Linked DNA regions of Stegostoma tigrinum. The protein of the gene in region 2 purifies or fractionates together with the protein of the main gene of each other region. This does not show direct contact. Links are inferred from orthologs where the notes say so. Each region holds a gene or a part of one and is shown on either strand. Other genes may lie near its edges.

Region 1 (7,454 bases), on a different chromosome or scaffold from region 2:
ATTGTTTCTGAGGGGATCTTTTACTCTAAGATCATTTTTTTCAATTATACTGTATTATACATCACCAGATCCAAAATGAACTGAACCCTGGTTGGATCAACCACACATTGTTGTTGGATACTGTCCCAAATACACTCTGAGAATTCTCTCTCATGGCTTTCTCCGCCAATCTGATTATCGCAATCTACATGTAGATTAAAGCCACTAATGATTAATGTACTGCCTTTGATAGATGCCCTCATTATCTTCTGATTTAGTCTCAGTCGCAATGTTAAACTACTGTTGGGGATCCTACATCCAACTCTTACCAGCTTCTTTCTTTTTTCTTAACTCCACACATATGGGTTCAACATCTTCTGATTCAAGGTCATTTCTTGCTATCATATTTATTTCAATCCACACCAACAATGCTACTCTATTATCATTTCTTTCTTGCCTGTTCTTTCAAAAACTCACTTATCTTGAATATTTAGTTTCCAGCTTTGATTTTCTTATAACCATGTCTCTGTAATGGTTATAAAATTATACCTGTTAACCTGACTTTTTGCCATTAATTCATTTATTTTGTTCCAAATACTATGTGCACTCAAGTAACGAGCCATTCATTTTGCCTTTTGAATGACTTTTTTCCCCCTGATTGACCCTATTTACTTCTATTTTTCTATGTTTACATATTTTGTCTCTTCCTGTCCTTCTCTGGGTATTGCTATCCAAATATCTGCCGTGCAATGCTGCCATATCAACTTGCTTTGTTGTAATAGGGAACAAAGAGATGGCAGGCCAACTAAATACATATTTTGGTTCTGTTTAACAGAGGAGGACACAAACATTGTCCTAGACCACCTGATACAGTTACAGGGAGGAATTGAAAGAAATCAGTATAAGTAGAGAAATCATGATGGGGCAATTGATGGGATTAAAGGCCAAATAGCTCCGAGAGCCCAATAACATGCATCCCAGACTACTTAAGGAAGTAGCCTTAAAAATAATGTATGCATTGGTGGTGATATTTCAACATCTATAGATTCCAGAACTGTTTCTATGGATTGGAGGGATTGGCCTATACATATTCTTTATATAGGTTGCAGGAGGGCATTTGATAGAAGTCCCACATAAGAGACTGTTACTTATAGTAGAAGCCTACTGAATTGAATGCAAATGCCTGACTTTGCTGCACAAATGTTTTAGTGGCAGGAAACAGAAATTAGGGATAATTGGTAGGTACTGAAATTGGCAGGATATGATTAATGGTGTCCCATAAGAATTTGTATGAGGCTCTTAATTATTCATATTTATTAACAACTTGGAAAATAGTATGGAAAGTCATATATCCAAATTTGATGGTGACATAAGTCTGGGTGGCATTGTCAATGATAGCATAATATTACAAAAGGATATTGATAGACTAAGTGAATAGACAAAATCGTGGCTGATGGATTTCAGTGTAACCAGCGTGTGGTTATCCACTTTTGGAATAAAAGAGGTTAGATCAGGATACTTTTAAGATAATATAAAAAAAATACAGTGGATGCCCAATTAAGACTTGAGGGGTTCAGGTACATAGATCTTTAAAATGCCACAAACAGATGCAGAAAATGCAGATGCAGAAAACAGATTCAGGGGCAGCACAGTGGCTTAGTGGTTAGCACTGCTGCGTTACAGTACCAGGGAGCTGGGTTCAATTCTAGTCTCAGGTGACCGACGCATACATTATTTTTAAGGCTGCTTCCTTAAGTAGTCTGGGATGCATTTTGTGGGCTTTTGGGACTATTTGACCTTTAATCCCATCAATTACCCCATCATGATTTCTCCACTTATACTGATTTATTTCAGTTCCTCCCCGTCAATGTATCTGTGGTCTAGAACAACGTTTGTGTGGAGTTTGCACATTCTCCCCGTGTCTGCATGGGTTTCCTCCGGGTGCTCCAGTTTCCTCCCACAGCCCAAAGATATGCAGGGTAGATGGATTGGCCATGCTAAATTGCCCATACAGCCCAGGAATGTTTAGGTCAGATTGATTAGATATGGGAAATTAGGGGAATGGGTTTGGGTGGGATGGTGTTCGGAGGGGCAGTGTGGACTTGTTGGGCCCAATAGCCCATACTGTCAGGATTCTATTCTGTGAAAATAATCAAGGTGGCTAATGGAATGCTAGCCTTTATATCTAGTGGACCGAAGTATAAGGACACAGCAGCTGTACAAAACTCTGGTTAGATACAACTTTGAGTACTTGGGAAAATCTGGGTACCACATCTTAGGAAGGATATATTGTCCTTGGATGTTTATCAGAATGATACCTGAACTACCAGGAGTTAAATTATGAAGAGAGATTATACAGATCTGATGAAGGGTCTAGGCCCGAAACGTCAGCTTTTGTGCTCCTGAGATGCTGCTTGGCCTGCTGTGTTCATCCAGCTTCACACTTTATTATCTTGGATTCTCCAGCATCTGCAGTTCCCATTATCTCGAAAACAAATTTGGCCTGTTTTACCAAAATTTAGAAGGTTAAGGGGTGAGCTGATCAAAGTCTTCATAATGCCAACAAGAAAAGGCAGTGTAAATAAACTATTGTCACTAGTTGGAGATATTAGAACTAGTCTACTAATTAGGACCAGGCCATTCAGGGGAGATGTTAGGTACTACTTCTACACCTAGACAATGGTAGAGGTTTGGAACTCTCTTCCACGAAAGGCAGTTGATGTTGCAGCAGCCATTAATTCATTTTAATCTGAGATAGATAATTATTTTATTAAGCAAAGGTTTCAAAGAATATGACCCAAAGGTTGGGAGATGGAGCTAGGCCACAGGTCAATCATGATCTCATTGAATGGTGGAACATGCATGAGGGGCTGAATGGCCTACTCCTGTTCCTATGCTTTCCAACTTAACATGACATTCAATTGTATTATGATCTCTAATTTTCAGCTGATATTTTTACTCGATTACTAAATAACATTACCACATTAAACAATACCAAAACCAAGATAGATTGATAAGGTGTATTGTTCACAGCTATAGCACCTCCCAAACCTGCAATCTCTACAGATACATGGGAACACCAGCATCTGAGTTAGTAAGAACTGCTGATGCTAGCGTCAGAGATAACACGGTGTGGAGCTGGAGGAGCACAGCAGACCAGTCCTGGCAGGTCTGTGTTAACACCAGTATCTGAAAGTTTTTTTTCAAATATTAGCAGCACAATGGCTCAGTGCTTAGCACTGCTGCCAACAGCACCAGGGACCTGCATTCGATTCTACCCTTGGGCAACTGTCTGTATAGAGTCTGCACATTCTCCCTGTGTTTCTTTGGGTTTCCTCTGGTGCTCCAGTTTTCTCACAGAGTCCAAAGATGTGCAGATTGGGTAGATTGGCTATGCTAAATTGCCCAAAGTGTCCAGGGGTGTGGAGGCTTAGTCGATTAGCCATACAAAATGCAGGGTTACAGGGATAGGGTAAGGGACAGGTCTGGTGGGGGAGGATAGTCGTCAGAGGATCAGTGTGAACTCGATGGGTTGAATGGCCTGCTTCCATACTGGAGGAATTATTTGATATATGATTTCCCTCACCAGCCACACAGCATCCATAGCTTGGAAATACTTATCACCATTGTTTCACAGTGGCTGGGTAAATACTCTGGAACTAATTCCGAAGAACATTTTCTCTCCCTGCGCCCCACGGATTGCAGTGGTTTGTCATTACCCAAAAGGTCTATAGAAATAATTAATGAGATGAAGGGTCTAAGCCTGAAACGTCAGCTTTCCTGCTCCTAAGGCCTGCAGTGTTCATCCTGCTCTACACCTTGTTATCTAGGAATAGTTATTATCTGCTTCAATGAAATTTAAAAAAAACCTTCGCTGGTCAGATATCTATGCTGGTTATATCAGTGAAGGCTTCAAAGGCACATGCTCTGTGGAGGAAGAGAAAATGGGAACTGCAGATGCTGGAGAATCCGAGATAACAAAGTGTGGAACTGGATGAACACAGCAGGCCAAGCAGCATCTGAGGAACACAAAAGCTGACGTTTCGGGCCGAGAGCCTTCATCAGAAAATTCCTGTGGAGGAATATTGTAATTTCTGGTCAACAGCATGCACACAGCCAACAGAAGTTTCTTTTACTTTTACACAAGCCCTCACGCTGCAGCAATGGTTCCACATTTATTTTAATTTCATATCGTTTGAAGGTCCCATTAAGTCAGTGCCTCTCTCAAGTTCTCTTCTCTAATTGAAAACCTTATGAAGGACTACACCTTCCAATTACCAGCACACTCTCTCAATTCCTTCAATGGAAAGACACCGCCCGCTCCCCTTTGTTTGATCACCAGAGACTCCGCCCACCCATCTTTCCTTCCCTTCGTCACGGGAGACTCCGCCCACACCCTTTCCGTTCGTTCACGTAGACACCGGTGTGTCATGAAATGGCCCCGCCCATTCCGTGCCGACCCTCTCGGGGCGGGGTCACTGATACGGGTGCGGCACGTACTTTAGTGTCGGAGGTCGTTCGGCGGTCAGTCAGTTATTCTCAAAAATTCCTGTGAACGTAGAAAGATTTAGATATGCCTCACTTTGTACAAAATCTTCGCAATTTACTCAGTAACCAGCCGGAAGAGTTTGAACAAGTTGAGGAGGAGGATGTTAGGAGTTGGGGGTTGACAGGTCAGTGCCGTTTAAACGGATTGTAGCCGACTCCTGGGGAGGTCTGAGGACACCTGACTGATCACAGGCCCAACTTGGATAACTTTGAACTCTTTGTGGGCACTTTGAACATAGTTATTAAATTGTCTTAATCCGACTATCTCTCATAGGCCTCTCCTTTAAATCGTGAGGCATACTGCCCGTGCCCTAAATATAACCTATTCTTGGCCTCTTTCTAAATAATTCTCATTCTCTGAAAATTGGGTAATGATGGTGACATGTCGGTTTCTTTTTCAAAATTAACCACTTTGCGATAACTACACTCTTTGAACGAATTTTATTCACTCGCTGAAGAGCGATTTGACTGTAAACAGTTCTTGAGTCCATGGAAAGTTCGGAAAGATCCCATCAGAGATGAAGGGTCTAGGCCTGAAACGTCAGCTTTTCTGCTCCTGAGATGCTGCTTGGCCTGCTGTGTTCATCCAGCTTCATACTTTGTTATCTTGGATTCTCCAGCATCTGCAGTTCCCATTATCTCTGATCGCAGTTGTAATGGCACCCGCATCCACAGCTTCAACAGAAAGTTCATTCCACACGTGAACCACCTTCTGTAATTAAAAAGCCTCAGTCTTTTTAAAATCTCTCTCCTCTCAACTTAAAATGTGCCCCCGGTCTTGAAATTCTTAGGGAAATTACAACTACTATCAATGCCTCTTGTTATTTCATTGACTTCTACCAGCTCACCTCTCAGGCTTAGATAATAAAGTGTGAAGCTGGATGAACACAGCAGGCCAAGCAGCATGCTGCTTGGCCTGCTGTGTTCATCTAGCTTCACACTTTATTATCTTGGATTCTCCAGCATCTGCAGTTCCCACCACCTCTCAACCTTCTTGGCTCCAGTGGAAAAAATCCTAGCCTTTCTTTATAACTCAGATCTTCTGTACCTGGCAACATCCTGGTGAATCTCTTCAGAAACCTTTCCAGTTTGATAATATCCTTTCTGTTCTGAGTAAGCGTCAACGGATCCGAAACATTTACTCTGTTTTCTCCTCCACGGATGCTACCAGACCTGCTGACCTTTTCCAGCAACTTTTGTTTTTGTTCTTGATTTACAGCATCTGCAGTTTTTTTTTGTTTCTATTTAATATTCTTTCTGTACCAGGTGACCAAAACTGGACACACTAAAGTGTCAATCAGCTGATCGAGGACCCAACTGAATATTGTTGTTTCTTATAAATTATTACAATGAATTGCCAAACATAGCTCAGTCTTAGCCTCAGTTGTATTTGATGTTTCACAAGTGCACTGCTGGTGGTGGATGGAAGAGCAGTTTGAGTGGATGAGTTAAGTATATATTACAAATATGCATTGCTACAATGTTAAAAGCATAGTAATCTCACCAGTTTACTAAATAAACTTATTGATGAGAAACAAAGTGAAAGAACCTCAATGCATTTTGCCAGCCTCATTGTTTATCTGAAATAACTGAAACCTGATCCCAACTCTGTATTAAAAACTGTAGGAACTGTGGATATTGTAAATCAAAAACAAGAAAAACTTTTCCTTGATATTTGCATCCATTGCCAATGTTGAGCATTTTTGCATCAACTGTCAGAAACTAGAGATTTTAGTTTCAAAAATAAATAAGACATCTTTGTATTGAGTAAATTGAATTAGGAGGATGTCTGATTTTATTACTTTTCATGGGCTAAATCAGAAAAATTGAGTTCTAATGATCAGAAAATTGCAAGAATAAATTAACATGAGCAGGAGTAGGTCATTCTACCTTTCAGTGCAAATCTTCCATTCAATAAGATCATGGCTGATCTGATTATTCAACATCTCTGATAACCTTTCACTCACTTGCTAATCAGGAACCAGTCTCCAGATGGCTTAAAAATGTTCTGCATTTACTTCATGCCTCTACTTCTACTGCATTTGTGAAAGAGATCCATAGTCAGTTCACCCATTGAGAAAAATAATTCTTCTCATCAGTCTCAAATGGACAACCCATTACCTTTAAGCAGTGTCCCCCTAGTTCTGAATTGTCCTGCAAGCAGAAACATCCTTATAACATTTGTCTTTCAAAACACTCAGGATCTTGTATGTTTCACTCAAGTTGCTCTTTCTCATCAGTCAGCTTGCCTATTCCAGGCCTAGTAAGCCTTCTAAAATTGCTTAATATGGTGATATTCTGATACTGTCACTAAACTGATAATCCAGAAGGCCAAGCTAATATGCTGAGGACATGAGTTCCAGTCTCACCATCATCGAATGTGGAATTTAAGTTAATTTAATATATGAGGAATTACTCACTTTAATGGTGACCATTAAATCATTGTCAGATATTTTAAAACCCACCTCAATCTCCAGTGTCCTTTTGGGAAGGAAAACTGCCATCCTCACCTGGTCTGGCTTGCTTGTGACTCTACGTCTTCAACAAAATGGTTAATTTTTTACTGTCCCCTAGCAGCTTTCAATTCCCATTTTGTCTCCCTTTTTGAATAAAGGTGTTAAATTTGCTATTTACTAATCTAAAGGAACATTCCCTGAATATAAAGAATGTTGGAAAATTAAAACTGATGAATTAACTATATCACTAGCTGCCACTTTTAAAACCCCAGGATTAAGTCCATCAGGACATAAGGACTTATCAGCCCACACCGCCAACAGTTTGCACAATACTGCTTCCCCTGTGATTGTAATATTCGGATTCTTCCCTTTCTTCCATGTCCTGATTTACAACTATATCTGGAATGTAACCTTTATCTCTATAATGAAGATCAATGCAAAATAATAATTCAGTTGATCCTCCATTTTCCT
Region 2 (7,348 bases):
ATTGAAAGCTTCAGGAACTGGTGGTAACCTTAACAAAATGCAAATAATTGAGTAAAATAACTGAGTAGTTGATTAAAACAAATTAATGAGATGACAAGGCAGATAGTGTGCTGTGATTGGAGATAGTAGGAACTACAGATGCTGGAGAATCTGAGATAACAAGGTGTCGAGCTGGATGAACACAGCAGGCCAAGCAGCATCAGAGAAGCAGGAAGGCTGACGTTTCGGGCCTTTCTGCAGAAGGGTTTAGGCCCAAAACGTCAGCCTTCCTGCTCCTCTGATGCTGCTTGGCCTCTAGTGTGCTGTGATTGTAGGTTGTGGAAGTTTCTGGGTGCCAGTATGATCCAGAGCGCACACATCTGTAACAAATGTTTCCAGCTTGAGAAATTTCAGCTCAAATTTATTGAGCTGGAAGCCAAGCTACAGACACTGCAGCACATCGGGGAAGAAAGATGTGACCTGGTCACTGTATTCCAGGAGGAGGTCACAGTCCTGAGGATGCTGTCTTCTGATTTTATTAGTGGTCGGGGGCAGAATGATGTGACTGCAAATGAGGCAGGTAGGGAATCCAAAAGGTGGGAGAGCAGGAGCCTCAGACTTTATAATTATCCATCAGGTTTGAGGTTTATCAGCTTGTTTTGATTAGGCAAGGGTCTGCAGTGTGGATGAGTTAACTGACAAATGCAGCATTGTACATGAAGCCTTTCAAGTGGGGGTAATAAAAGTGAATTTGGGGTATTAAGGGACAGTACAACAAGAGGGATTGACACTGTTCTCTGCAGTTAAGCATGTGAGTCCAGATAGCTGTGTTATCTGCCCAATTCTAGGATATCCGCACTCAAATGGAGCAAGCTTCGCCATGGGATGGGGAGGATCCAAAAGACATGGCCCACATTGGTACCAATGATGTAGCTGGAACTAGAAAGGATGTTATGTCATCTCATTTTCCACTTGGGAGCCCTTCAGCCTTCAGGACCCAATTTTGAGTCTAATAATATGAAGGCCTGAGCACCCTCTTCCATGTCCTTCCCCCAACCCCCACACACCAGGCCCTGTCATCACCTGGGCTGTGACCACAACCAACCAGCTTCCAGTCCCCATTAGCAGCTACCGATTCTCCCAGACTGACCATTACCCAATCCTTTGACTGCCAACTACTATTATCTCACTCTGGGCTCTATCTCCACCTAGCGTTTATTCTTCCCCCTCCTACTATCCCTTCTTTTGCATTTATCCCACCTTTTCCTAGCCACAATTAGTTCTGATAGAAGAGTCACCAAACCCAAAACATTAACTCTGCTTTGTCTCCATAGAAGATAATCAATACGTTGGCATTGATATTCCAAATCCACTAGTTGCTGGAAAGATTTCACCAGGCTGGAAAGAATTCATGTAACTTCTTTAATTAAGAAGGATGAAAAGCTAGAAAACAGGTAGTTATAGGCTGGTTGACTTGTCTTTCATGAGGAACGTGTTAGAATTGATCATTAAGGACGTTATTTTTTAAAAAACAATGAATTGTGAATGCTGGAAATCAGAATCAAAAACAGAAATTGCTGGAAAGCTCAACAGATCTGGCAGCATCTGTGGAGAGAAAACTGAGCTAATGTTTTAGCACCAGTGACCCTTCTTCAGAATCCCATTAAGTAGCTTATTGTTAGCCACTTAGAAAAATTCATGGTAATTAGGAGTAGCATGATTTTGTGAAATGGAACTCAAGGGTAACAAATTAGAGTTCTTTGAAGGAGTAATGTGCACTGTGGGTCTGGGGAGCCTATTGACATGCATTTTGATTTCCAGAAGACATTTGACAAGATGTCATACAAGGGCTTTCCACACAGTAGAAGCTCATGGTATAGTGGTTAACATATTAGCATAGATACAGGATTGGTTGAGTTGTCAAAAACAGCAGGTGCGCATAAAACAGTATTCTTCTGATTGACAGGGTGTGATTACTGAAATTTTCCAGAGATTTGAACTGGGCCATAGCTTTTTACAATTTATATCAATGACTTAGATGAGAGATTAAAGGTGTTGTAACTAAAGTTGTGGATGATACAAAAATAGGTGGGAAAGTATAACACAGTGAGGAGTTGGATGATTTCTGAAGAAGGGTCCTGAACCGAAACGTCAGCTTTCCCGCTCCTATGATGCTGCCTGGCCTGCTGTGTTCCTCCAGCTCCGCACAGTTATCTCTGACTCCAGCATTGGCAGTTCTTACTATGTCTGGGTGGAAAAGTACGTCATGAAAATGATAAAATAAGGATGCAAGCAATTTTAGATAGGTTAAGTGTATGGGCAGATCTGGCAGATGGAATAAAATATTGGGAAATGTTATTTTTACCTTGGCAGGAACAATAAAACTGTAGAGTATTACTTAAATGGAGGACAACTGCAGACTTCGGACGTACAGGTAAATTTTAAGTCTTCCAGTGTATGACTTCCAAAATATTATGTAGGTACAGCAAGTAATACGCAGGCTGATGGAATGCTATCCCATATTAATAACATAAAAGCAATGATGTTATGCTTCCTTTATGCAGGGCGCTGGCAAGATCACGTTTCAAATACCGTTTGCAGTTTTGGTCTCCTTTCCTCGAGGATGTGAATGCGTTAGAGGCAGCGATTAATATTCTGAATATGCACGGGGGTCCTTGGCTCCATCTAGTGACGGAATTTTGTTGGTGCAGAAAGCACTGGGATTCCATCGGCTACCTCCACCAACCAACATCTGCCACTAGATGGATCTTGGTGAGTCCAAAAGTAACTTACACGCAGTCCCTCGGTTGCAAACAGATGCTGTTCTCGGGTCCACTTATAAGTCAATTTTCACACCAGTCAAAACACAGTGCAGGACCATGTAAAGCAGCTGTTGTAGGTACAGGAAAATTTTGTATGTTGAGTCTTCAAATTTACACCCCCAGATGGGATCACATTTGTAAATCAGATGTTTGTAAATCAGGGACCCTCATTTACTTATATATTTACTTATAGATTATATTTCGTCCCTTAATGCTTTCATATTTTGTGATGTATTTTATTTCAGTGGTTATTTTAGCTATGGATGCATAGTGCTTTAATTGAAATGGCTTTGACAGCGATTCTCATGGAAACTCAAGATCTATGATTAATTCCAATCATCATTTAAAGTCAGAATTTTCAGGAAACAGACAGAAGTGAGGAATCCACATGCATTATAGGTATGATTCAAAGGGCATATTCAAACTTATGAGGGAACAACATTGAGTAAGAAATTTGTTGGAAGTCCACGTACAGTGTTACTCTCTTAAAATATTATTTTTAAAAACTCTAGTAAATTGGTTAAGGACGATTCGCCTTCCAAGATAAAACCTATGGCACATCTCTGGCTAGGAGCCAGTGCTGCTGCCATTCCACACAGCGGTAGCAAGCCTTCTCTGACTCAGAGATAACAAACTGTGAAGCTGGACGAACACAGTAGGCCAAGCAGCATCTTAGGAGCACAAAAGCTAACGTTTTGGGCCTAGACCCTTCACCAGAAAAGGGGGATGGGGAGAGGATTCTGAAATAAATAGGCAGAAAGGGGGAGGCGGACTGAAGGCAGATAGAGAAGATAGGTGGAGAGGTAGGGAGGCGATAGGTCAGTCCAGGGAGGACGGACAGGTTAAGGAGGTGGGATGAGGTTAGTAGGTAGGAAATGGAGGTGCGGCTCGAGGTGGGAGGAAGGGATAGGTGAGAGGAAGAGCAGGTTAGGGAGGCGGGACAAGCTGGGCTGGTTTTGGGATGCGGGGGGGAAGGGGAGATTTTGAAGCTGGTGAAATCCACAATGATACCATTGGGCTGTAGGGTTCCCAAGCAGAATATGAGTTTCTGTTTCTGCAACCTATGGATGGCATCATTATGGCTCTGCAGGAGGCCCAGGATGGACATGTTGTCTAAGGAATGGGAGGGGGAGTTGAAATGGTTCGCGACCTGGAGGTGCAGTTGTTTATTGCGAACCGAGCGTGGGTGTTCTGCAAAGCGGTCCCCAATCCTCTGCTTGGTTTCCCCAATGTAGAAGATGCCACACCGAATACAGTGGATCCAGTATGCCACATTGGCAGATGTGCAGGTGAACATCTGCTTGATGTGGAAAGTCATCATGGGGCCTGGGATGTGGGTGACGGAGGAGGTGTGGGGGCAGATGTAGCAGGGGAACGTGCCGGGTGTGGTGAGGTTGGAGGGGAGTGAGCGGTCTCTCCAGAAGGCAGACAAGGGTGGGGATAGAAAAATGTCTAAATGCCCGGAGCAACAACTTCTTCGAGAGTGGGTGTGGCCTTGGCGTCAGCACGCTCCGCCGTGCTGACGTGTGGAAGTTGCGCCTACTGGGGTGCGGAGGGGCCAAACTAAGCTGGGGCTCGAGAGGCTGTGTTTGTTTTTGTTTCTCTTTCCCCTCCCCATCTGTGGTGTTTAGTGAGTGTTTCGGTGACAGTGGCTAGGCAAAAGCCCCTGGCTGTAGGCGCTGGCGGGTAAGTGAGGAACATTCAGTGGCATCGAACCCGGTGCTGTTGCCTGGCTCACAAAGGAACAATCGGCCTCGCTCGGGCGCTATGGTGACTGATTGTATCGCTCAGGCCCCGAGTTCCACTCGAACGTGGCGGCACCAATGTTCCCATTTGGAGCACGGAGTGGATTAGAGTGGGGCGCCGGGCTGCTACCTGACCCTCCCCCGCTCCCTTTCCTGTGCAATCCCCTCTTTCCATTGTTATGCCTCCTTCCTCCCCCCACTTTGCACTTTCTTGTTACTGTCACATACCCAACTGGGCTGACCGGTCCAGCGTGGTTTCGTCGCCGGAGCCATACTCGTCGGTTCTCCCTCATCGCAAAATATGCATGTACTTCGGCTGTGTAAAGCGCAAGGCCTTACTCAAATGTTATCCGTATTCTGCGAATGTATTTTGTTGTCCTCATTAGGTTCATTTATCAAATATTATTTTTTTGGGGGGGGCGGTGTAATGGTTGTTGGTGAGTAAACTTTCCCCATTAATTTGTACTCTTGTATTTTTATATTGTGAATAACTGTTGGAATAAAATGAAATCTCCCTTCTCTTCCCCACAGGCCTGTTGGATCCAGTGTATCTACAGGCTTTCAAACTTGAGATCGATGATTGCTATATTTATCTCCCACTTTGGGCCGCCTTTTAATTTCGATTTTGTTGCTATGTACAGGCTTTTTTTTTCAAAAACTTTGTCGTTGTTGCTGTGTTTTTCCAACGTGTACCAACAAAATCAGTAGAGGTCTACTGAAAGATTTGGGTGAAAAATTTGAAATCTAGACCCTTTCTTTCTGTCTATTTGTTTAACTGGAAAATTGGATCTATATTAGAAAAAATGTTGAAAATGTATTAATCCTTTATGATTATTTGGGTTTATGGAACATAAAATGCTTTGAGAGTAAATCAAACTCAGAATACTTGATTGAGATTGGTCACTTGTAATCCTTTTTTTTGGAGCTAAATATAGTTTCTCCTCCAAAATGCTGTAACGTAAACTCCAGCAGTCTGTGCCCATGTGCTCAGCTCACTCCTAATTAAGGAACTTCAGAGCCCAACATCAGAAGCATGAGTTTTCTGATTGGGAGTCTGGCATTCAGGTAGAACGAAACTCGCCTTCTTTCCCACCCCAAGAGGTCCTGAATGAAACTGTTCGTCTGGTTCCAATGGCATTTAAATGTGGTGTGACCTCCCAGGATCTTGAAGCTATCAATCATAAGCCACAGACTGATAGCTTCAAGTCAGGTCATTATAAGGAGCATTGGAAACCGATGTTTAAAAGCTTTCTTTGTGCACGTGGGAGAAAAATAGAACCGTATTTTACTGGAGAAAAGATTTACTAATTTTCTTTGCAGAATTTTTGGATACTAAATGTTACAGCCTAAGAAGACACTTCTTTTCCCCTCCACTGTTGTGGGAGAAATATGGTCAAAATAGTAAAAGGTTTGATGTGCATGTACCTTGCCGCACGTGAACTGTTGCACTTAATGCCACCTAAATGACTGCCTTAGTAAATGGGAAAGTAACAAGTGGGAACGTGAAAGGCAGAGCACTAAGCATATTTCTAGCTACAGTCAGCTGGAAAAATACAAGGCAAGATTGACAAGGCTAAGTTTTACATTTTATTTTAAAGCTTTTTTGAACAGTATTTTTGATTGCTTTCTTTGCTTCCCTAGAGAGGCAAATGGAAAGTGCACATGTATCAATGTATTCCTTGTTCTGTTCCAAGTAAGGAAAGTTTCCATTTTTAATTAATTTTCACAATATCACGAAGAACCCTGCAGTAGATTTGTTTTTAATTTTTGATATTTGTTATAAAATTTGAAACTTGGAAATTTTGAGTGGCACACTCAACCAGAGTAAAGACCAGTGAAACTCATGAATGACATATATACTTGTTTGACTTGACTTATAGATCTCAAAATGGAGCTCCAATATGACCATTATGTTCACTTCCTATCATTACTGCTTTGTTTTACTTTTTTCTTAAATGTCTGAGCAAGGGTTTGCACATGTAATGCCAGATGTCATTAGTGTCTTTCTTACCATTCTCTGCCTTTTCCATCTTATTATTTGGGTCTTGATCTTTGTTCTGCTTTTATTCTAATTGTTCTCCATTTTGTTTGCCAGCATTGATTCTTTATGAAAGACATCATGATACAGACCCTGCAGGCTGATTTTTACATTCACAGTAAATTTGCACCCATCTATGTAAACAGTGTTGTTCTTATGTTGCATTCAGTGCCTTGTGAACTAATGAATATAACCTAGTTACTAAAATCTGCTAATCTACATTTACGGTATATGTAGAAGGATTTCTCCTATTTCATGACTTTGTAGCTTTGCTTAGGGGGCCATGCATATGGTATTTGCATTGTGCCTGTTGACCTTTTCCATCTAGGGTATCAGTCTCATAGACTTTAGAGAGTATAAACTGCGGTTGCTCTGTGCACTCATAGTTAAGGGAATAAATGTTTTACATGGTCAGTCAGCTGCAGGTCAAGGAAACTGGAATGTCCTGGATAGTGTTGAGACTCTTAACAGTTTTGCAGGTGCGTTAATCCGAACAATTGGAGAGTATTCCATCAGGTTCTAGATTAGTGCCCTGTAGATTGTCTTTGGAGAGTCAGTGCTGAATTCTCAGCCTCTGACCTTCTCTGATAGTATTTGTATGGCCAGTGGGGTTAACTAGAGTTAAGTTCCTGATCTGAGTAATCAATTCAATTTGAACTCTTGGTCATCAGATCTTCGATTGTCTTTTCAGCCTTTACTTGTTTCTTCCCCTAAAAGGTTACAGTTACCTACAGTATCCTTGCCAGTTTGACAATTTCACTGTC
Region 3 (6,930 bases), on a different chromosome or scaffold from region 2:
CCGTCTTCAAATCACTAAGAGGCAGCAGTGAATTAGGTGGCGAACCTGATGCCCCAGGTTTTTCCTGGCCCCGTTTTAAAATCCATCTTCCTGGGCTAGACAAATTATTACCCATCCCTCCTGCACCAAACACTAGAGTTCAGAATCTGAACTGGCATGGCAGGGATTTGCTACCTTATGTACGAATGGAATGTTAAACTGAAGCTCCATCTGCCCTTTCTGGATGTAAAGATTCCCTATGCTGTTTCAAAGAGGAACAGGAAGGTCTTAGCCAATATGTAGCCCTCAATCAACATTCCCAAAACAAACTAATGGCTGTGAATAAAGCAAAGTTGAGATCATAGGTTATCATATTCTGCTCTTCTCTGCCTTTGTTTAGTTATGTCTCCATTTTTGCATTTGAAAAATGCAATAACCTTCACTGGAATAAAGCCATAATTAAACACTTACCTACTTATTCATACAACTGACAAAAAAAAGATTTTTTAAAAATTTTAAATTGGTGAAGAACACAGTGATATTTGATTTACTGGCTTCCTTTTATCCACTAAGTTTCTTGTTTCCTTGTCACTTAAGGGTATGCACTATTATTTAAAGGATTGTTCCAAAAGCATCTGCTGACTATGGCCCACCCCCTTGACCTGTCTGTCCTCCCTGGACTGAGCTATCCCCTCCCTACCTCCCCACCTACACTCACCTCTACTGGCTCCATATCCGCTTCTTTAACTTGTCTGTCTCCTCTCCACCTATCTTGCCTCTATCCATCTTCAATCCATCTTCCCCCTCTCCCCCTTTTCTGATGAAGGGTCTAGGCCCGAAATGTCAGCTTTTGTGCTCCTAAGATGCTGCTTGGCCTGCTGTGTTCATCCAGCTCCACACTTTGTTATCTCGGATTCTCCAGCATCTGCAGTTCCCATTATATCTGCTGATTATTTTTTTGTGACTGACGGCAGACTATTTGATCACAGGACAGGAATATCCCAATCCTCAACCAGCACATTCCAGAAGGTGTTAGACAGCAAATAAGAGTGGGAATCCTGAGCAATTTGATCTCACTCTACCCCTAGCTGAGACTAATTGTGGTCTACTATTGGTTCCTCCAAACAGAGATCGGGTAACTTGATGTAGACCTGAGATTGGACCAATGCCATTGCTAGTTTGTATCATCAAGTAATCTTTGTGTAAATCTGTACATAGAAACTTAGCTTCTTTTTACAAATGCCACAGGTAGGCCAGAGAAATCGCAATGTGAGAACAGTGATGCACATTGGAATCCTACCAATGGGTGGAGGTGAGATCTGACAATAGAATTTTATTTTGCATTATGACAGTAACCTGTAGTATATTCTATGACACATCATCATCCTTCAATGGGAGTTGTTATGAAGATATGCTATCAGAAATATTAATTTAGAATATCATTGTCTGGACATTTTTCAAAATCTTTGACTATTTGGAGAGAACACTTTGCAAGAAAAGGAGACTGACTGCAATGGGAAAATGTTTAATTTCCAAAAACTACAAGCTTCTTGGTTGGAGTCACTGAGTTTGCATTAGCTTCAGAAAGAGGCCACATATTGTATTTTTTGAGACTAATAAAACATATCAACACAAAAAGGATTGAACACAGAGCCAGAGAGAGAATTTAACTAGAGCAACAGCCTTCGCTATTCTCTGAAATCCCTCTCATCTCAGTATGAGAGTTGAAAACTCACTGGAAAATTCCACCACCACAAATGGAGAGTTCTGACAAGAGAATTTGAACTCAAAAAGTGAATTCAGTGAGCTAAAATTGATCCAGGAGGACACCCCAACACTAATTGTGCAACGTGACTTTGGCTTCAGACTGTCATTTGGACAAATTGTGAATAATTCTTTTTCCTGAGTTTAACAGTTCCTTGACCAAGGAATTTTGTAGGTAACAAAGCAGAGGATTTACGTTTTATTTCCCTGCCTTGAAGGTTGTTCATATGTATGTTAGTTTTCAACAAGGGCAGATGTACGTATTTGTATAATGTAAACTTTTGTTAAAAAAATCATTATAGCATTGCTTGAGCAAAATTATTTGGCAATAAATTATTTCTGGCTGACTTGATACTGAGTTAGATACGCTTAATCATAATTATTACCTTTGTTTTGAAATTCAAACTTCGTTCGGACAAATGAGAAGTGTGAAATAAGAAATCAGTTTACACCTCCTAACTGGATCACAATAGAAGTAATAGTTTAGTGTTTCTGAATTATATTTGTAGATCTGTACTCACTTCCTATTTAAGTCTAGACACGTGAGAAATGGTAAGGCCATATTTATTGCCCATGTCTAGTTTCAGAGTCAGTTGCCTCAAATTTCCAAGAGGTAAAGCAGATACCAAGGAAATAATCTGCAACTTTAACAAAATGAGTAATAGCAATCAGTCACCCAGTATTCAAGCCACCCAGTGAAAAAAACAGGCAAGGTTTACTTGAGTGATCAATGCACTCTGTGCCAAAAGTGTTCTGCCAGCCAAGATATACATGATTAAGAGTTTGCGGGTGACGGCAATTGTCTTTGTTCACACTGCACCAGATTTGCAAGCCACTCTTGATCTCTTCAATGCTACAAACAGGAGAATTAGCCTGTTCTTGAATGTTACCGCGGTCAATATAAATATCAGATTCAATTAGAATTTTTCTTCATGCCCTGCTAAACATTCTTTTTTCAACTCAATTCCATGAAAACTAATTATCATTTGTCTCATTTGCTACTTGAGGAATAGATTTGATGTATTTACATAGCAGCAGCTACATTTTGGAAGTAAAATGTCATAAAAGGCATTGGGCTGCCCTCAACATAAAGAGCAAATTCATAAGAGATAATGGGAACTGCAGATGCTGGAGAATCCAAGATAATAAAATGTGAGGCTGGATGAACACAGCAGGCCAAGCAGATCTCAGGAGCACAAAAGCTGACGTTTCGGGCCTAGACCCTTCATCAGACATAATCCTGCTTCTGAATTGGCAAACATATTTCAATTAGAAACAGAAAATGCTGGAGAACCACAACAGTTCTGTAGCACATATGGAGACAAAATCAGAGACGACTCTATTTCAGTTCTCTCACTACCTCGCTAAAAAGGCTGTTGGACCTGCTGAGTTTCTCCAACACTTTCTGTTTTCGTTTCAGATCTCTGGCATCTGCAGTATCTTTTAGAAATTGGATTAGAACAGGGATGTGTACATTAGGATATGGCAACATTTTAATTTCAAACTATGCTTTTTTTTAAACTCATTAGTGGGGTATTGCATTGCTGGTTTGTTGTCCAAACCTAGTTGTCCTTGAGAAGGTGATTATAGAATTGAATCCCCTACAATGTGGAAACAGGTCCTTTGGCCCAACAAGTGCTTACCAATCCTTGGAGCATCCCACCCAGATCCATTCCCTTATAACCTACCTAAACTACACATCCCTGAACACTACAGGCAATTGCATGGCCAATCCACCTAACCTACACATTTTTGGACTGGGGGAGGAAACCCACAAGGGCATGGGGAGAATGTGCCAATTCGGGCAGTCACCAAAGGGTGAAATCAAACCCGGGTTCACGTTACTGTGAAGCAACAGTGCTAACCACTGAACCACCATGCTGTTCCCAATGGTGAGCTACATTCCTGAACCACTGCAGTCCTTTTGGTATACATAGCCCCATAATGTTCTCAGTGAAGGAATTGCAGGATTTTGACCCAGTGACATAAAGGAACAGCAATATATCCTAGGTCAGGATGGTGAGTGACTTGGAGGGAACTTGCAGGAGCCGGTGTTCCCCTATGCAGTGTCTGCGGTCCTTGTCTTTCCAGATGGAAGTGGTGCTGAGTTTGGAAGCTGCTAAGGATCTTTGGCGAATTTCTGCAGTACATTTCGGTGCACAGCACACATTCTGCAGTGCATTTCGGTGTACAGCACACATTCTGCAGTGCAGTTCGGTTTACTGCTGCTACTGACCGTCGGTGAGGGGAGGGGACTGATTGCAGCCTACGCTCAGGGAGTTGTCGGGAGTGAGAGTCTCATGGTTATCTTGTTTCGATTTTGTGTCGGCCACAGCTCTTGAGGGAGTCGGGCCGCCCGGCACCTTTAAACGGGCGCCACGTCACAGCGGCTGAAGCAGGGACAAAGGGCGAGGGCCGGCTCTTAAAGGGGAGGTCTCCAGGCGGCGCGGAGAGCAGGCCGCAGCTTCATACCAGGTCAGTCCGAGCGGGCCCTGGCGCTACGGCCGGGGGTGGGGGAAGAAAACACCGAGCCTCGACCCAGTAGTCAGGAGAGGCCTGGCCCTAGCCCTCGGCTGAACGTCGTTCCCCCCGGGGCGGGGAGACGGTTACCACCAGAGGGCTTCACTCGCACCGGCTGGGAGCTGGTGTCTCTAGGCCTTGAGGCCTCGGGCCTCGATTTGGAGGCGGGTTCCGCTCTCGGCTTGTCCGCCGAAAGTCGCAGGCGCTGGCCCCGCGTTTAAACGGGACGGGCATCTCTTTCTCCCTCCCCCCGCCTCCCAAATTTAACCACCAAACACCCCACTCCTCCCGCTTCAATTTACAAACACGAATAAATATTAACTGCTACAGATAATGGGATCTGATCAAGTTCTGAAACTGCATTCACGGTATTTTGGTTACTCTTAAACTGGTGGGCGTGTATGTTTTAAAGCCCTTTGTTGGCAGCGTTTCTCCAGGATACTACAAAGTGTGTGGGAATGATAGCACCATGGGGCCAGAAGTCCGTGGTCACAAACCCAAATCAGGAAAGTCTGAGAAATAAACTGAGCTTTTCCTCTGCGAGGTACAAACCAAAAATAGGTTAAAGGTTTCCTAGCATCGGTGGCGACTCATCTAATTTAAAACTAGCCTTGTCTTTTTTTTCAGAAAGATCACATCGCTACAATTGAAAACTCTTGAAAATTGAATGCCCCATGCCCCTGAACCACGAAGCCGGGGTTATGTCCCATCCGCTCTGGACGTGTATAATAAATAACGTGTGAACAGGTTGCTGAGTAAATATCTAGACACTGGGAGTTACGTCTAGGCCGCCTGGCCTTGTGCTCCTGCCCTGCCATTCAGCAGGATCGTGACTGATCCTGTACCTTTGCCATTTTCTCCTGAGGGGAGAAGTCACCAGACCCGAAACGTTAACCCTGATTTTCTTTTCTGTTCTTTACAGATGCTGACAGACCTCCTGAGCTTTTCCAGCGACTTCTGTTTTTGTTCCATATTTTTCCAGCTTTCTTCTCACAATGCCTCCTAGTGCCTTTTAAAATTTTCAAATTTATCAGTCTGTGTTTTGAATATATTCAGTAATTTGCCCTCCACAGTCTGTGTGAAAGGAGCAGTATCTCCTCGGTCTGCCGTGTACGCGTGACAGTGCAGATACTGTGCAAATCGGTCAGAAATTGGCCCCTTTAAGTGCTGCTGGGGAAAGGAAAATTAAAGGTCGTGTGCATTCAAACACGAACAGCCTGTGAATGTTAGGAAAGCACTTTGAGGGAACGCTTGTAACAATATCACGGATGGGAGAATAGTTGGATAAAGGTTACGATGTTTATGAATTTTTTTAACCCCCCAATGCATGACCTCAGTGACTCCAACATTGCTTGAAAAAAGCAATATAACAATCTCGTGTAATCAGCTAGAAAAGCTCAGCAGGCCTGGCAGCATCTGTGAAGAAAAAAAAATCAGAGTTAACGTTTCAGTACTGGTGACCCTTCATTAGAACAGGAAGTTATGATTTTTTTTTCACCGATGCGCCAGACTTGCTGAGCTCTTCCAGCGACTTTTGTTATTGTTCCTGGTTTATAGCGTCTGCGGTTTTTTTTTATTGTGTAGTCTGCTTTGAGTTAATGCTTGTTGCACCCTAAATGTTACATATCGTGTCTTGCTCCTTTTGAAGTGTTTGTCAAGAGCCGGGCTGGAATTGAGCCGAAACTAAGCAGAAGCTGGTCCTTTTTTTTCTTTTGGAGCTTTCATAACTATGCACCAGGATATTAATGATATGAGGGAGCGATGGGAATGGAGAAACAGATGTCCAGTTTGATTATAAAATGTGAGGCTGAATGAACACAGCAGGCCAAGCAGCATCTCAGGAGCACAAAAGCTGACGTTTCGGGCCTAGACCCTTCATCAGAGTCCAGTTTGATTGCAGTGTGCACTTGGTTTTTTGCTTGGCCAGTTAGCTGCCATCCTTCCCTTCCTAGGTTTACTTCTATCGCTTTAATTCCCCAGTGAGTTGGTGAAGGTGGCATGAGCCATTGAGGTGAATGGCACTGAGGCTAAGCATTCCCAGTTGGCTGTAAGTGGTGGTGAATGGGCACATGATTCATTTAAGGGATAATATGATCCTGAGGTTTAAGAGTTGTTATAAGATAGATCTCAAGCTTAATAGCTCTAATTGTCCCAACATCCATAGTCTTCTGAGGGGCAAATTGCAAATTTTTAATACTCATTTGTATATGTGTTTTATGTTGAGAAGCGCGAACTGATTTTTCTCTATAAAGCCAACTCTGATTTTAGAAATTGTTTCCTTGTTCAGAGGAAAATATTTCCTTGTATTATCCTGTTGAATCCTTTTAACATTTTAAAAACTCTAAGCTAGGTTTTGGCAGCTTGCTGTATAGTATAATATGTTAAATTAAAGAATCATTATGATAAGTCAGCATTGAGGTATGTACCCAAGTCACCACCCTATAGCCTCTGCTCCATTACAAATAAAGATCTGTCCCATTGAAAATAAAGGCCAATATTTGTTCGTATTTTTGCAAGCTTTTTGTACCTATTCATTACTATTAAATAATTCATACACATTGGATTTCCAAATCTTTTTGTTTCTGTATAGGTCCACATTTCTTGCTCTTTCTTGGGGGGAGGGGGGAGAAAGGCCTCTTTCTTGAGTCCAAAATAGATGGCCTTGTA
Region 4 (7,111 bases), on a different chromosome or scaffold from region 2:
ATGTTGTAGTTATCCCAATTGGTTCACAGTCAGACCCCCTGATGTTGTACTTATCCCAATTGGTTCACAGTCAGACCCCCCCCCTGATGTTGTACTTATCCCAATTGGTTCACAGTCAGACCCCCCCCCTGATGTTGTAGTTATCCCAATTGGTTCACAGTCAGACCCCCCCTGATGTTGTAGTTATCCCAATTGGTTCACAGTCAGACCCCCTGATGTTGTACTTATCCCAATTGGTTCACAGTCAGACCCCCCCCGATGTTGTAGTTATCCCAATTGGTTCACAGTCAGACCCCCCCTGATGTTGTAGTTATCCCAATTGGTTCACAGTCAGACCCCCTGATGTTGTACTTATCCCAATTGGTTCACAGTCAGACCCCCCCCCTGATGTTGTAGTTATCCCAATTGGTTCACAGTCAGACCCCCCCCCTGATGTTGTAGTTATCCCAATTGGTTCACAGTCAGACCCCCCCCCGATGTTGTAGTTATCCCAATTGGTTCACAGTCAGACCCCCCCTGATGTTGTAGTTATCCCAATTGGTTCACAGTCAGACCCCCCCCTGATGTTGTAGTTATCCCAATTGGTTCACAGTCAGACCCCCCCCCTGATGTTGTAGTTATCCCAATTGGTTCACAGTCAGACCCCCCCCCGATGTTGTAGTTATCCCAATTGGTTCACAGTCAGACCCCCCCTGATGTTGTAGTTATCCCAATTGGTTCACAGTCAGACCCCCTGATGTTGTAGTTATCCCAATTGGTTCACAGTCAGACCCCCCTGATGTTGTAGTTATCCCAATTGGTTCACAGTCAGACCCCCCCTGATGTTGTAGTTATCCCAATTGGTTCACAGTCAGACCCCCCCTGATGTTGTAGTTATCCCAATTGGTTCACAGTCAGACCCCCCCCGGTGTTGTACTTATCCCAATTGGTTCACAGTCAGACCCCCTGATGTTGTACTTATCCCAATTGGTTCACAGTCAGACCCCCTGATGTTGTAGTTATCCCAATTGGTTCACAGTCAGACCCCCCCCCCCGATGTTGTAGTTATCCCAATTGGTTCACAGTCAGACCCCCCCCTGATGTTGTAGTTATCCCAATTGGTTCACAGTCAGACCCCCCCCCTGATGTTGTAGTTATCCCAATTGGTTCACAGTCAGACCCCCCCTGATGTTGTGGTTATCCCAATTGGTTCACAGTCAGACCCCCTGATGTTGTACTTATCCCAATTGGTTCACAGTCAGACCCCCTGATGTTGTAGTTATCCCAATTGGTTCACAGTCAGACCCCCCCCTGATGTTGTACTTATCCCAATTGGTTCACAGTCAGACCCCCTGATGTTGTACTTATCCCAATTGGTTCACAGTCAGACCCCCCCCCTGATGTTGTACTTATCCCAATTGGTTCACAGTCAGACCCCCCCCCCCTGATGTTGTAGTTATCCCAATTGGTTCACAGTCAGACCCCCCCCTGGTGTTGTAGATGTCCCAGTTGGTTCACAGTCAGGCCCCTGGTGTTGTTCCCAACCCAATTTGTTCACAGTCAGCCCCCAGTGTCATACCTAACCCAATTTGTGATTTTGATTTGATTTATTGTTGTCATGTGTACCTAAGTACAGTGAAAATCTGTGTTTGTGTAGAGTACAGGCAGATCATAGCAAATAAGGACATACAGATCATAGATAACACAGTGTGGATCTGGAGGAACACAGCAGATTAGGCAGCATCAAAGGAGCAGGGAAGCTGACGTTTCGGTTTAGAACCCTTCTTCAGAACTGTTTAGCCCCGACCTGAAACATCAGCTTTCCTGCTCCTCTGATGCTGCTTGGCCTGCTGTGTTCCTCCATGCCCACGCTGTGTGCTAGCTCTGACTCCAGCATCTGCAGTTCTTGCTATGTCTCATGCAGATTATCGGGTGCTTAGACAGAACTAGGCATCTAGGTTACGCTGCGCAGGAGGGGTGCGAAGCAAGATCAACGCGAGCAAGATGAGCATTATTTGAAGTTCGGGAGTCTATTCATTAGTCTAATAACAGCAGCGAAGAAACTGTTCCTGAACCTGATGGTGCGTGTGTTCAGGCTTCTGTGTCTTGTGCCTGATGGACGAGGTTGTAGGGGATCATTACCAGGTTTGGAGGGGTCTTCGATGATATGGGCAGCCTTTCCACAACAACGAGACAAGTAACTGGAGTCCATGGGTGGAAGGTCGGCTTCTGTGATGGTCTGGGCTGTACACACCGCCTTCTGCAGTTTCTTACGGTCCTGGGGGAGAGCTGTCACCGTACCAGGCCGTTGTTCACCCGGAACGGTATGCTTTCTGTGGTACATCAGTAAAAGTTGGTGAGGGTCCTTACGGAAAACCCGGAATTTCCTGAGCCGCCTGAGGAAGAAGAGGTACTGTTGAGCCTTCTTGACCGTTGCATCCGAGTGGGAACCCCGGGACAGGTTCTCGGTTATTGTCACTCCTCGGAACATGACACTCTGCTCCGTTGGTGTGGATGAAGCGTGTCTTCCCCCTCCTTGCATGGTCAAATCCTGTGACCCCCCCACCGCCGCCAGGTTGTGCCGCTCCCAGTTTCTGCACAGTCAGAAAAAAAAGACTCAGCCTTGTTTCTGAGGCAAGAAATTACAGAGAGTTGCGAACACAGCCCAGCCCATCATACAAACCAGCCTCCCATCCATTGACACAATTTGAGGTTGTACAAGATGTTGGTTAGGCCCCGTCTGGAGTACCATATAAAACCCGAAAGAACGGCAGATGCTGTCAACCAGAAATAAAAACAGAAGCTTTTGGAAAAGCTCAGCAGGCCTGGCAGTGCCTGTGAAGAGGAATCAGTTGTTGTTTCTGGTCTGGGGCAACCCTTCCTCAGATCAGAATGCTGAGCTTTCCAAGCAATTTCTGCTTTTGTCCCTGGAGAACTGTGTCCAAATCTGGTTGTCCTCTTACAGGAAGGGTGTCGTTGAAGCTGGGGAGGGTTCAGAAGAGATTTACCAGGATGTTGCTTGAAATGGACGGTTTGAGTTATAAGGATAAGCTGGAACACTGGAGGTTGTGGGGTGAATTTACAGACATTTATGAAATTGTGAGAGATGTAGATAGGTTGAATGGCAGGTGTCTTTTAAGAGTGTGGAATTTAAAGACCAGAGCACATTTTTAAGGTGAGAGGAGAAAGATTTAAAAAAAAGGTGAAGGTTTTTGTTTTAAATACAGAGGGTGGCCCGAGTGTGGAATGAGCTTCCAGTGGAAGTGATGGATGTGTGTACAGTCACAATGTTTAAAACGCATTCGGATAAGTACATGAATAGGAAAGGTTTAGAGGGATACAGGCCAGGAGCAGGCAGGTGGGGCTAGTTTGAGATTTAGCATGGACTGGTTGGGCCGAAGAGTCTGTTTCCGCGCTGTACAGACTCCACCTGTACTTCCTGCTGCTTCGGGAAAACAGCTAACATAATCAAAGACCCCTCCCACCTCAGTTGCACTCTCTTCACCCTCTTTTCATCGGGCAGAAGATACAGAAGTTTGAAAACACATATCAACAGATTCAAGAACAGCTTCTTCCCTGCTGTTATCAGACCTACGAGTAGATCCCTCATATATTCGAGTTGTTCTCTCTCTGCACCCTCTCTGCTGCTGGAACACTATATTGGGCATTCTGTTTTACTATCCTGATGTACTTAACTAAGATATGATCTATCTGCATCGCATGCGGATTATACATTTCACTGTATCTTGGTGCATGTGACAATAACAAAGTGGAACAGAAGAAAACCTGTTCTTCCTGAAGTGTGCGTCATGCCCGCTGCTCCTCTGGGCTGGGACGAGTCGATGATTTTTCTTTCAAAACATGACAAAAAGCAGATCTCGGTGCTACGGGCTGAATGGCATTCTGTGCCGTCTCGTTCTACAATTCTGTGCCTCACAGGGATTTTTTTGAAATTCATTAATTGCCTGTCATAGTTGTGCTTAAGAAAGTGGCGGTGAGCTGCCCCCTTGAACTGCTGCAGTCCCATGTCCTGTGGGGTAGACCCACAGCGTCCCCCTCAGGGAGGGAATTCCAGGGATCCTGACCTGGCCACACTGAAGGAACGGCCGATATATTTCCAAGTCGGAATGACGAGCGGCTCAGAGGGGTAACTCGCAGGGGGCTGGTGTTCCCATGTATCTGCTGCCCCCTTATCCTTCCAGATGGAAGTGGCCGTGGGATGTAGAAGGTGCTGCCTGAGGACCCTTTGTGAGTCTCTGCAGGGCGTCTTGTAGATTACACACTGCTGCGGTTGAGCATCGGTGGGTGGGGGAGCGGGTGTTTGTAGATGTAGTGCCAATCAAGTGGGGAGCCGCTTTGACCCTGGACAGTGTGGAGCCTGTCGAGTGTTGTCAGAGCTGCCCCCATCCACGGGCAAGTGGGGTGTATCCCATCACACTCCTGACTGTGTGTTGATGGTGGGACAGGTTTTGGTGGAGTCAGGAGGGGAGTTGCTGGCCACAGTATTTTGATCCTGTGACCTATTCTTGTCGCGACTGTATTTATGTTATGAGGATGTTGATTGTGGGGGGGGGGGCGGGTTTCAGTGATGGCAACGCCATTGAATGTCAAGGGAGGGGGGTGGTTAGATTTTCTTTGATTTGGGGATGGTCACAGCCTGGCATTTGTGTGGCGCAAATGTTACGAGGCACTTGTCACCCCAAGCCTGGATATTGATAAGTTTTACCTCGGTGGTGTGTGAGAGTTATGGTAGTGGGACTGGTGTTCTCCCTGCAGGCCGCAAGAGAGCGACGGCAGACAATGATGAAGAGGAGGTGGGTCTCAATGAGTTAGCTGGCCGTTGGGAATGGGAAGCGGATGACGGATCCTGGAATGTTTACTCGGCCGAGCATGAGCGGGAGCTTTCAGAGGCTTTGCGGTAAGTGTCAAAAAGCAGTGTTCTGCCAAAGGCGCCTCGAGTTCAAAACTCAAATCCTTCCATCGTCTCTGATCCCACCTGTCTGTCCGCCTCCCAGCCTAGTTTTACCTTCCCCCAACTCTGTGATCTTCTTCCGTCCCAAAACCTTCATATCCCTGCTTGCTTCTGATTCCCGACTCTCAAGTTCCTTCCCTATGATTGAAATTTCTGCAGCTTCAGGTACCCGTGCCCATAGCAGAGGAATGACCCAAAACATCTCCACCTCCCACCTTCTCTCTCACTGGCTCCCTCCCTCTCTGTCTCTCTCTCTCTTCCCCTTTCTCTATCTCTCTCTCTGTCAGTCTGTCCCCCTCCACATACCCCACCTGTCTATCTCTGTCTTGCAGTCTGTCCGCTTCCACACACACCCTCCCTCTCGCTCTCTCTCGCTCTCTCTCGGTCTTACATGGTGCCCCTCTCGCTAGGTCTGCCGTCTTCTCTCGCGATCTTATTTAACTGATTGTGTGACTGTGAAGTTGCGTGTTTTAAGTTTTTCCAGGAATGTTGGTTTCACTGGCTAGACCCAGGATCTGTTGCCTGTCTCCCTGGACCAGTGCATGGTGCGCCCACCTAGACTGCTGATAGGGAGGGAGTTCCAGGCCCAATGATGGTAATATATTTCCAGGTTGGGATGGAGAGCTTGCAGGGGGCTGGTGTTCCTATGTATCTGCTGCCCCTTGTCCATATTGATGGTGGAGGGTGTGGGGTTTTGGAAGGTACTGAATTACGGAGCCTCAGTGGGTTTCTGCAGCGCATCTTGTAGATGGTACACACTGCTGCGACTGAGTGTTGGTGTTTGTGGATGCCATGCCAATTGAGCGGTTGGCTGGTTTGTCCCTGGGTGGTGTCGACTTCTCGAATGATGTCGGAGCTGCCTGCACCCAGTGCAAGTGGGGAATATCCCATCAGACAGGGGTGGGGTGTGTGCCTGTGTGTGTGCCTGTGGAAGAGGGAAGAGTCAGGAGGTGAGTGACTCGCTACAGGATTCCCAGCCTCTGACCTACTCTTGTAGCCCCTTGTGTTTATGTGGGGCCGGTCCAAGTTCAGGTTCTGGTGAATGATAATCCCCAGGATAGTGGGGACAACGGTTAGATTTTCCCTTACTAGAGATGGTCACTGCCTGGCATTTGTGTGGCATCAGTGTTACCTGCCACTTGCCAGCCCAAGCCTGGATATTGTCCAGATCTTGTTGCATTTGAACGCGGACTGCTTCAGGACCTGAGGAGTCACGAATGGTGCTGTACACTGTGCAGTCATCGGTGAACATCCCCGATTCTGCTGCCTGTGGGGGTGGGTGCGGTCATTGATGAAGCAGCCGAAGGTGGTTGGCTCTAGAACGCTGTCCTGTTGGAGATTTGAAGGAGTGTGTTAAGTGAAGAACGAGGGGGCAGGGTTGGACTTTCGGACCAGGGAACACAAACTCGAGCCTTTCCAAGTCCGTCGCATTGACCTAACACTGCACCTTATCTTGCCCTCTTCCCCCCCCCCCCCCCCCCCCCCCCCCCAGGTCCGGGAATACCTCCGTTCAGCTGTCTCTTCCTTCGAAGATCACCCTGCGAGTGGATTTGAAGAAAATGGCCCAGGAGAACAGCCAGACAGGCTTCGAGAGGAGTGTGCGCTATGCTGTGAAAGAGAAGGAAGACTGTATGATCCTGTCCTGGCAATGTTTGACGGGCAAAGAGTAGAGAGAGCTTTACTTTCAGCTCATTGGAGTAGAGAGAGCTTTACTTTCAGTTTATTGGAATAGAGGAACTTCACTTCCTGCTTAAAAGAGTAGAGGGAGCTTTACCTTCTGTTGAGAAGAAGAGGGAGATTTACTTCCTGTTTAAAAGAGCAGAGGGAGCTTTACTTTCCATTTCAAGGAGGAGGCAATTTGAAAGGGATGTCAAGATGGGCTCCTTTCCCAAGTAGCAGACCTGGGATCTCTCGCACTAAGTGCTGTTGAAGTTTAGGGTGGGCTAGCTATAAATGTTACCAGTGGCATTGATGGATGTTTTCTGGCAACTGTACACAGACTAGTGATGCAATGGTTGGGAATTGTGAATCATGGCAGCTAGAATCTCAATGAATAGTCAGACAGGCTCAAGGGACTGAATGGTCCCCTGCCGTTCCTCTGTAACTGGGTCCAGGAGGTGGCTGAGTGGCCTCAACCTGATTCTGTGTAACAGACTCCAA

The links.
Region 1: the proteins of rnf146 (region 2) and chd1l purify together in Homo sapiens (co-immunoprecipitation; 3 studies listed by BioGRID and IntAct, counting the BioPlex papers as one, with this or other methods). This does not show direct contact. The link is inferred for Stegostoma tigrinum from reciprocal best matches to the Homo sapiens genes RNF146 and CHD1L.
Region 3: the proteins of rnf146 (region 2) and lig3 purify together in Homo sapiens (co-immunoprecipitation; 3 studies listed by BioGRID and IntAct, counting the BioPlex papers as one, with this or other methods). This does not show direct contact. The link is inferred for Stegostoma tigrinum from reciprocal best matches to the Homo sapiens genes RNF146 and LIG3.
Region 4: the proteins of rnf146 (region 2) and parp2 purify together in Homo sapiens (affinity purification with mass spectrometry; 4 studies listed by BioGRID and IntAct, counting the BioPlex papers as one, with this or other methods). This does not show direct contact. The link is inferred for Stegostoma tigrinum from reciprocal best matches to the Homo sapiens genes RNF146 and PARP2.

What each region holds. Positions count from the first base shown.
Region 1 is NC_081365.1:27,585,993-27,593,446, reverse strand, and holds the start of chd1l (chromodomain-helicase-DNA-binding protein 1-like), read left to right. Parts: upstream 1-4,432; 5' UTR 4,433-4,552; coding exon 4,553-4,652; intron 4,653-7,454. UniProt on the Homo sapiens protein: ATP-dependent chromatin remodeler that mediates chromatin-remodeling following DNA damage.
Region 2 is NC_081357.1:68,246,031-68,253,378, forward strand, and holds the start of rnf146 (E3 ubiquitin-protein ligase rnf146), read left to right. Parts: upstream 1-4,332; 5' UTR 4,333-4,487; intron 4,488-7,348. UniProt on the Homo sapiens protein: E3 ubiquitin-protein ligase that specifically binds poly-ADP-ribosylated (PARsylated) proteins and mediates their ubiquitination and subsequent degradation. May regulate many important biological processes, such as cell survival and DNA damage response.
Region 3 is NC_081380.1:10,340,062-10,346,991, reverse strand, and holds the start of lig3 (DNA ligase 3), read left to right. Parts: upstream 1-3,909; 5' UTR 3,910-4,218; intron 4,219-4,890; 5' UTR 4,891-5,553; intron 5,554-6,930. UniProt on the Homo sapiens protein: Isoform 3 functions as a heterodimer with DNA-repair protein XRCC1 in the nucleus and can correct defective DNA strand-break repair and sister chromatid exchange following treatment with ionizing radiation and alkylating agents.
Region 4 is NW_026728242.1:133,888-140,998, forward strand, and holds the start of parp2 (poly [ADP-ribose] polymerase 2), read left to right. Parts: upstream 1-4,106; coding exon 4,107-4,126; intron 4,127-4,723; coding exon 4,724-4,897; intron 4,898-6,443; coding exon 6,444-6,580; intron 6,581-7,111. UniProt on the Homo sapiens protein: Poly-ADP-ribosyltransferase that mediates poly-ADP-ribosylation of proteins and plays a key role in DNA repair.